Arabidopsis thaliana: one gene and its partner. The protein of the gene in region 2 purifies or fractionates together with the protein of the main gene of each other region. This does not show direct contact. Each region holds a gene or a part of one and is shown on either strand. Other genes may lie near its edges. The genes, in order: NRPB8A and NRPB6A.

Region 1 (4,267 bases), on a different chromosome or scaffold from region 2:
GGTAAAGAAGAACCTGTTAGAACTTAGAACATACCAATTCTAAAAAATCTCTAAATATAACAAACCTAGCATCATTGCTCATATCAGATGAACTACTAGGAGAAGCCTCATAGCTAACAACAGAACGAGAAGTCTCTGAAGGTGAAGTGAAAATGGAGGTAGATTCGAGTGATTGTGTCCTTGATTTCTTTATATTACGCCATTTATCCTTGAAATTTGGGCAATAAGAATAAACAATACAACATTAATACCCAAATTTCGACCTAATTCCACATAATAAATCTCAAAAATCGATTTCCATGGAAGACGAATGGGATTTTGGGAATTTTCGATTACCTTGAGGTTAATGTTTGTGCGATCTAGAAGTTGAGCCGCGAACTCTGGATCGTCTAAAATACTTGTCCATTTTCCGGAACCGTGCTTGGCTAGTCCGGCGAGAAGGGCTTCCTTCTTCCACCGTCCATTTATTCTTCCGATTTTCTAGTTGTTTTTTCTTTCTCTTCAAGTCGAAATATATACCATTTAGAAGGCCTCATCAAAAGCTTTTATTGGGCCTAAACATGGCCCACTATACAGATTTAAAATTAAATCTTGATCTGTTCAGAATTTTTAAGACTAATCTCGACCGTCCAAGATATATTCTCCCAGTCTCAAAGAAGCAAGAACACAAACATGGACTAGAGAAAACACAAGCATGGATTAGAGAAAACACTCTATTTTTGGCTCAGAATCTATTTTTCGAGCTTTATTGCTTCATATTGTTGTTAGAAGATAAGAGTGTAGTGAAAATTGGTTAGAGAAGAAACAAAACTGTGTCCTTGACCAAAAAAAAAACTGTGTCTTTGTCTGTGTTTTTTGTTATGTTCTTGGTCTCAATTGCTTATCTTCATCAATAGCTTAGAGCTACAAATAGTACATTTCACCGGACCGGAGCAGTCAATTTGTGGAATGGGATTTAAAACGGAACGGAAAAACTTGCTTTTGCACAAGAGTTGCTTCATGAAAATTGCAAGAGTTGAAGTAGTAAAAGTTAAACATTAGATCAAGCTCTCTATTAATTCAGTTTTTATCCGAAAAAATGGCACCTCACAGCTTCCTCATGAGTAGGAAGAGCCTCTGGTCGAGTTCGAAGTGAGAAATGTGAGCTGGATCTCCCTTAAGCAACATCAGGAGGCCGCCAAACGAAACATATAGCTCTCTGGAAACACATAATTTAAAGAAAATAAAATAAAACATGATGGTTTGATATGTGAGTTGAATTGGATTGAATTATTTTGATATGGGGGGGTTATATGGGATTCTTACGCTTTTGGAGTTTTGCCGTCACGCTCAGAGATCTTGTAAAGCTTCCCGTGCATTATGTATTCATACTTATCGGCAAGTGTTTTCTTTGCTCCCTGTAATGTATCGAGATGAAAACTAGATAAGATTAATGTTTAGATATGCATACACATTCTTGGTTTTCAAATTTAGATCTTGAAGATTCAAGAACTAAAGCTTGTTAAAATTCCATGTCTCCTCTTATTCCTAGATAGACAGGCTTCTCGAATCAGCCAACAGAGTTATAATATCAACCATTTAGCAGCATTAACAGTTATATCCTAACAAAATCCAGATACGGGTTCAAAGTTACCATTCATGGAAATTTGGCCAAGCAAACAAGAGACTGTGTATATACTCAAAACAAAACAACTAAATAAAAAGCAGTAGAGTTTATTACCGGAGTAAAATAACCGGTATCAGGGGTTCCATCGAGATTCAGCGTAGGAGCCAACGCAAGTGTGAACTTATCACCAACAGCCAATGGATAAACCTCTGTATTAACATCTAAATGCATAAACATTTCCAAGTTGTGGCTCGTAGCTTGAACGCGAGTAACTGTAACCACAAACACAACAAAAATCATTGTAGGTTTAAGAGAAAGCCACTCAATCTGAAGACAGAACAAAACTTGGGGGAGACTAAAAACTTAAAAAGTTAAATTTTTCCACAAAACCCACACACTCAGACCAAAAAAGGATAAACGGAAGAACTCATTCACAATACATACATGAACTAAACAGCTATGAACAAACGTCGATGTAAGCCATGAGAAGTACTAGAAATCGTGAGTGAGGCTAATAAAGTGTATACCTTTATCGAACTTTTTGCCATCAGGGTCTAACTGATCGACCACGAAGATATCCTCGAACAAGATGATATTGCTCGCCATCTGCAAACACGGAAATTCAAACCCTAAACACTCTTTATTTCCTTGATAAAACCCCAATTAAACCAGTAAACAAGACCTATATGGACATCTAATGAGTACAAGAATCCGAACTCTGAAATCAACTTATAAACAACCAATCGCATAGGAAAGTAAATAGTTCCGAACCAGGAGCTTGAGTTGAGGGAGAGATGGAGAAGCTTGAGATCAAAAAGTTCAGACTTTAATCTCCCAAGCGATGGGCGATAGAAGAGCCAAAAAACAATTAAAGGGACAGACTGAGAACAAAAACTCATAAAAGTCCTATGTAAGCTTATAATGGGCTTACAATGAGGCCCATTATAAAATTGTAATTCTCATAACTAATTTTTTTCTTTCTTGATCAGTATTTGAAATTAATCTCGACCGTTAAAAATACTTGCTAAAGACACCATGACACACTTTCTTTTTTTCTTTCTTATGTTATGTATTAGAAAAACCTATTCAATTCTTAAGATTGGCATTATCTGTAAAAACTTGTATTAACAAAAACTAACAGAATAGTCTGTTGCCTTCACAACCAAAATCATTTAACCACAAAGTAACAAACTATGACTAGTTAGTCAAATGAAATCACATTTCATATCTACACTCTTTTTTTTACTCAAAACCAAAAACACTAAAAAGAAACCGGTGATCGAATATATCCACCTTGAACCGGACCAGAAGGTCAAAGCTTTTACAGCAGGAAAATCTTTTCACCGTTAGCACCTGCAAGGACCAAATCAAATGAAAAAGTCAGTGATGATGATGATGATAAAAGGTTAAGAGGTGGACATTACTTACATCGATTAAGGATTTCTACGGCTAACTGCAAGGTTATGTTGCTTTCTAATTTTAGCAACTGGGCGTGTTTATCTGCAAGTTCGTATGCCTCTTTTGCTTCCAACTCCAAGTGTTCTGCCTCTGCGACTTCTTTTGCTAATGCGATTATCCGAGGATCTACTTCTGTTGTTGGTGGTGCGAAAGAAGCACAAGTACTTGGTGTGTCTTGTGCCTTTGTGCCCGTGGAATCTTCTGGATCCATGGTTTCTCTTTGATTTGAATCTCCTACTGACACAACTGGAGTATCAAATACACCACGGGGGATCTTGTAGAGGTTTCCTACCTGCATTTACAAGTTTTTTTTTCCGTTTTTCTGAACTGATCAAACAAAACTACTGAATCTTAACATTAGTGTGAGGCAACTCTGAAAAACTAGTTACCTTGTATACTTGGCCTTCAGAAACTAGATATCTCAGCTGGTTTTCCAACCGCTCCCTAAAATCTTCCTGTAACTCGTTCCTTTCCTGCAATTTATATTAACCACAAGAACATGATGGTTAGTTGATCAAGAACAACGGAGGAATCAACAAAACCAAGACTTTAAAAGGAAGACTTTTAGGGGATGGAACATGAAGTCAAATTTTCAGATCCTAATGTTCCATTGTGTAATCCCGCTATTGACTCACATTTCAGAACCAATATACACTACTCATGAGATATGACCATGAAACACAGATACTTATAGAGACAGAGAGATCCTCCTAACCTTGATAAAAGTGAAAATCGCATCGACATCAAGACCATTATGATTCTCGTAGACTGTTTCTAAAGCCTGAAAGATCAATTCATCAGTCGTAAACCTGAAACAAAACCAACAAAAAAAGAGTAATATCAAAACATAGATAGACCAGAGAAAACAAAGATTGGTGGTTAAAGAATCGAGAAGGTCACAAACCCAGAGGGACCCCGGTCTTCTTCTGAATCTATCATCATGAGCCTTTCAAGCTGTTCACTGAAAATGAGATAACAAATCAATCAAAACATAACCAGAAAAGCAAAGATCAATTCTAAAAGATTGGTTCTAAAGAATACAATAAAATTCACTAACGCATAGGAAGAAGGTTCTGAAGAATCCGTAGCCGCTGGAGAAGAAGGAAGGTCTCTGAAAAAAAGAGAAAGAAATTGACATTATTAGTTGAAGCAGAGCTTTAAGCATCGATCGATCTCTCTCATTTCCACAAAATTGGCTTTGGG
Region 2 (3,784 bases):
CGAGAGCCGGTTTGATCCTCCAGAAAATCGCGGGACCGATCTCGAGAGGTCATTTAGAGCTTAGGAACACAAACCCGGATGATAATCCTTCAGTAAGGTTCAACTATTATCAAGAGCCAGAGGATCTACAGATATGTGTTGAAGGGATCAACACCATTATTAAAGTGATCAACTCCAAGGCATTCTCCAAATTCAAGTACCCGGACGCGACCATACATGGACTACTCGATCTAATGCTAAGCGTTCCTACCAATCTGAGGCCGCGGCATATAACCTCGATGTTCAATTTAAGGCAGTTTTGCATTGACACTGTGATGACAATTTGGCACTACCATGGAGGTTGCCAAGTTGGAAGAGTGGTTGACAAGAATTACAGAGTCTTAGGCATTGATTCCTTAAGGGTCATCGATGGATCCACATTTCTCAAGTCTCCGGGGACTAATCCTCAAGCTACTGTTATGATGCTCGGAAGGTAAATGCATAAACCAAATGATCCAAATAATCTAAAACATGTTAATGATTTGATTAAGAACTGATTGTGTCAGAGTGTTTTGTGTAGGTATATGGGCCAAAGGATTCTTCAAGAGAGGGAGATATACAACAAACCGGATAAAGAAGCGTGAGATATTACTTGTTTTGAGAAAATCTTGATCTTGGAATTGTTTTAATCAATGTATGATTAACTTAAAGAGTATGAATGTGTACATCTGTTCATGTTCTGTTTCTAATATGTATAATAATGGTGGAATTATGGTACTTGGGGCTTCTAGTTTTGCAGAATTTCGGAATATGAGTCTAGTATTATCCATAAGTTTCACTGATTTTTAGTTCCATTACAACATCAGAAAATTTATCATCCATAAGAGAGGAAAGCTTGCAAGTTACATACGTATTTGTCGATTTGTCTCTGGTCAGATTATCAATCACCACCAACTTGACGTTTCCATGAGTCTTCCACGATCAGTTCATCAACTCCCCATTCCTCGAAACTGTTTCAGGAATCATAAGTAAGTCACAAGAAAAGAAGAGATCAAGTGAGTGAAGAGAATAATATAAGCTCAATGCAATCTCTCACCTCCCATCAGGTAGATAGCGTCTAATAGTGAATGGTATCTTCCGCTGCCTAAGCTCCTTCATCGCAATCTGAATCCAAATCATAATAAATTAGCTCAAATGTTCATATAAGTTTACTGAGACATAACTTCAAAAACCAACAACAAGAAGGTAGGTAAGCACACCTCAAGTGGATCAGTCTCACCCTCTAGCTCAACCATGACAGGAGCATTCATGCTGTATCAGCCAAAAAACAACATTAAGACTCAAACTTTTCAAGCCAATTTAACATTAAAAAGATTGTTCTCAGTAGCAAGAACCATACCTAATCTGCAAAGCGCGAGTGCCGAGGATACGAGCACGCTCATACTTGGTCATAAACTTTGACGTTTTGCGTGGACGTTGCACAGGTTCTGTTTCGACTTTATCTTCAGCTTCAATAGGCTCACCATTGACATCATCATTCTCCTTCATTTCAACATCTTCCTCTACTCCTTCCTACACAAGAAAAAAAAAACCAATCAGAAACCGAAAGTTGTATAATAAGCAATAACCATGTCTCTTATACAAAGAAAAAATATTGAACTTACTTCAATCTCAGGCTCTGCTGGCTCATCCTCATATCTGCAATAGCCCAAATTTTCTTCAATTTACTCACAAGTTTCACTAGAAAAGCTCATAGAGTTTTAAAAAATAGCTTTTTCTCAATGAAATTAGGGTTTCTACTTTCTACCTTAAAATCGATTAGAATCAGTACTATACCGAACAAAATCGAAGCAACGTTTCATCGAAGAAACCCATCTATAAAAACTGCTAATTTAGACATTAACTAATCCAATTTACTCTAAATCGATTACGAATTCGTCGAGAAGAAGATAGAATCTTTTGAAATCCGAGCACGAATAATGAATAGATATGAAACCGAGAGAGAGGAAGAGAGAATAACCCCAAGTCATCGACGTCGTTGTAATCTTCGTCAGCCATTAATGTCGATTTTTGGTTTCGCTTTCTCCTTCTCTTTGCTCTGTATAAACCCTAACTCTCGTTGCAGAGTTCCGAACGACGCAGAATGAATCAATGAAGTTAAGAACTGAATAAAATTTAAATGATCCAGTTTATTTAACTATGCTTAGTAAACTTTATAATCGGACCATTTAATTTCAAGCCCAATTTAGGCCCACATAAGAATAACTCCACAACTGAATCAAATTTCCTTCTTTATTCCAAATAATCATGGAACATGTGATATATACTGATTATGTTAGAATTTTCTTTTCTTTGGACGATGATCACATATTCATATACTTGTCTGGTCTCATCTTTAGTTGGAGAAACGATCGAATAATCATAGAAAATACTTCTCGAAAAGCAACTCTCTCTCTCGAAGAATCCTTTGCCCCATGTACACCTACACATAACACTCAAGTCTCAACAAGACAATCACAACTCGAAGAATCATATGATCATTAAGTATGAGCGTTTTACCTTCCGAGCATCATGACCGTGGCTCGATGATTAGTCTCCGGAGACTTGAGAAATGTGGATCCATATCAATGGCCATTAAGGCATCAATACCTAAAACTTTGTAATTCTTGTCGACCAACTTGACAACCTCCATGGTAATGCCATATAGTCATCACAATGTGGATGCAAAACTGCGTCAAGTTGGACTTCGAGGACGCGTGTCATTTTAAGGTTTTAATTTTGTTTCACAAAAATTGTCATTTTTGTGTTTTCAATGGAATATTTAAAACCAAATCTCTTTTTTTTTTTTTTATCTCTATTATTTCACTTTATCATTTAGAAAGAGAAAGTATTATCTAGTGTATTAGTAACGGGTAGAAATAAAATTTGTTTACTTTTCTTCATTTGTGTGAAAATGTTAGAAGACAATAACACAACAAGTAATAATAGATGAGAAAACTTTTGTCTACTCTCTATTAAGAACCTTAGGCTTTTTGTTACTTTTCGTGGAAAGCCGCTCTTTGCCGAATAATTTCCTGCCCCATGTACCTACACATAGCACTTTCACAATGATTTTTATTCAAACATCATATCTTATTTATTGATGTTGTGATTATTTAGTTTTTGTGCTTACCTTCCAAGCATCATGACCGTGGCTTGAGGATTAGTCCCGGGAGACTTGAGAAATGTGGATCCATCGATGACCCTTAAGCCATCTATGCCTAAGACTTTGTAATTCTTGTCAACCACTTTTCCAACTTGGCAACCTCCATGGTAATGCCAAACACTCGTCACGGTGTCGATGCAAAACTGCTTCAAGTTGAACGCTGAGGTCACGTGCCTTGGCCTCAAATTGATGGGAAGGGCCAACATGAGATTGAGCAGTTCACGTGCCGTCACACCCGGATACTTGTACTTGGAGAAAGCTTTGGAATTTATCATTCTAATAATGGTGTTAAGCCCTTTAACACACTTGTTCAAATCCTCTGGTTCTTGATAGTAGTTGAATGTCACTGAAGGATTATCCCTTGGGTTCGTGTTCCGTAGCTTCATATGTCCTTTTGAGGCCGGTCCATCGACTTTTTGAAAGATCAAACCCCCATTCATCCTCACTTCCAATTTAACATCAAAAGATTTTAAAAGGACTGCAATGGATTGGGTCAGGATTTTCCTAGATGTAGTATGACTTGTCTGCATAATGCGTCATAGTTAGACAACATACAATCTCATAAGTCATAACTAAATAACCTTTAAATGTATTTATGTT

What was found.
Region 1: the proteins of NRPB6A (region 2) and NRPB8A fractionate together in Arabidopsis thaliana (co-fractionation; one large-scale study listed by BioGRID). This does not show direct contact.

Annotation. Positions count from the first base shown.
Region 1 is NC_003070.9:20,253,155-20,257,421, reverse strand, and holds NRPB8A (RNA polymerase Rpb8), read right to left. Parts: upstream 2,485-4,267; 5' UTR 2,378-2,484; intron 2,213-2,377; coding exon 2,134-2,212; intron 1,879-2,133; coding exon 1,721-1,878; intron 1,398-1,720; coding exon 1,306-1,397; intron 1,199-1,305; coding exon 1,087-1,198; 3' UTR 734-1,086; downstream 1-733. Other genes in the region: AT1G54260 (winged-helix DNA-binding transcription factor family protein), read right to left, coding at 66-82; AT1G54240 (winged-helix DNA-binding transcription factor family protein), read right to left, coding at 2,928-2,959, 3,035-3,356, 3,454-3,537, 3,780-3,873, 3,969-4,025, 4,122-4,175.
Region 2 is NC_003076.8:21,102,932-21,106,715, reverse strand, and holds NRPB6A (RNA polymerase Rpb6), read right to left. Parts: upstream 2,166-3,784; 5' UTR 2,038-2,165; coding exon 2,000-2,037; intron 1,678-1,999; coding exon 1,644-1,677; intron 1,552-1,643; coding exon 1,379-1,551; intron 1,291-1,378; coding exon 1,239-1,290; intron 1,144-1,238; coding exon 1,076-1,143; intron 990-1,075; coding exon 920-989; 3' UTR 769-919; downstream 1-768. Other genes in the region: AT5G51950 (Glucose-methanol-choline (GMC) oxidoreductase family protein), read left to right, coding at 1-472, 560-623; AT5G51930 (Glucose-methanol-choline (GMC) oxidoreductase family protein), read right to left, coding at 3,148-3,708.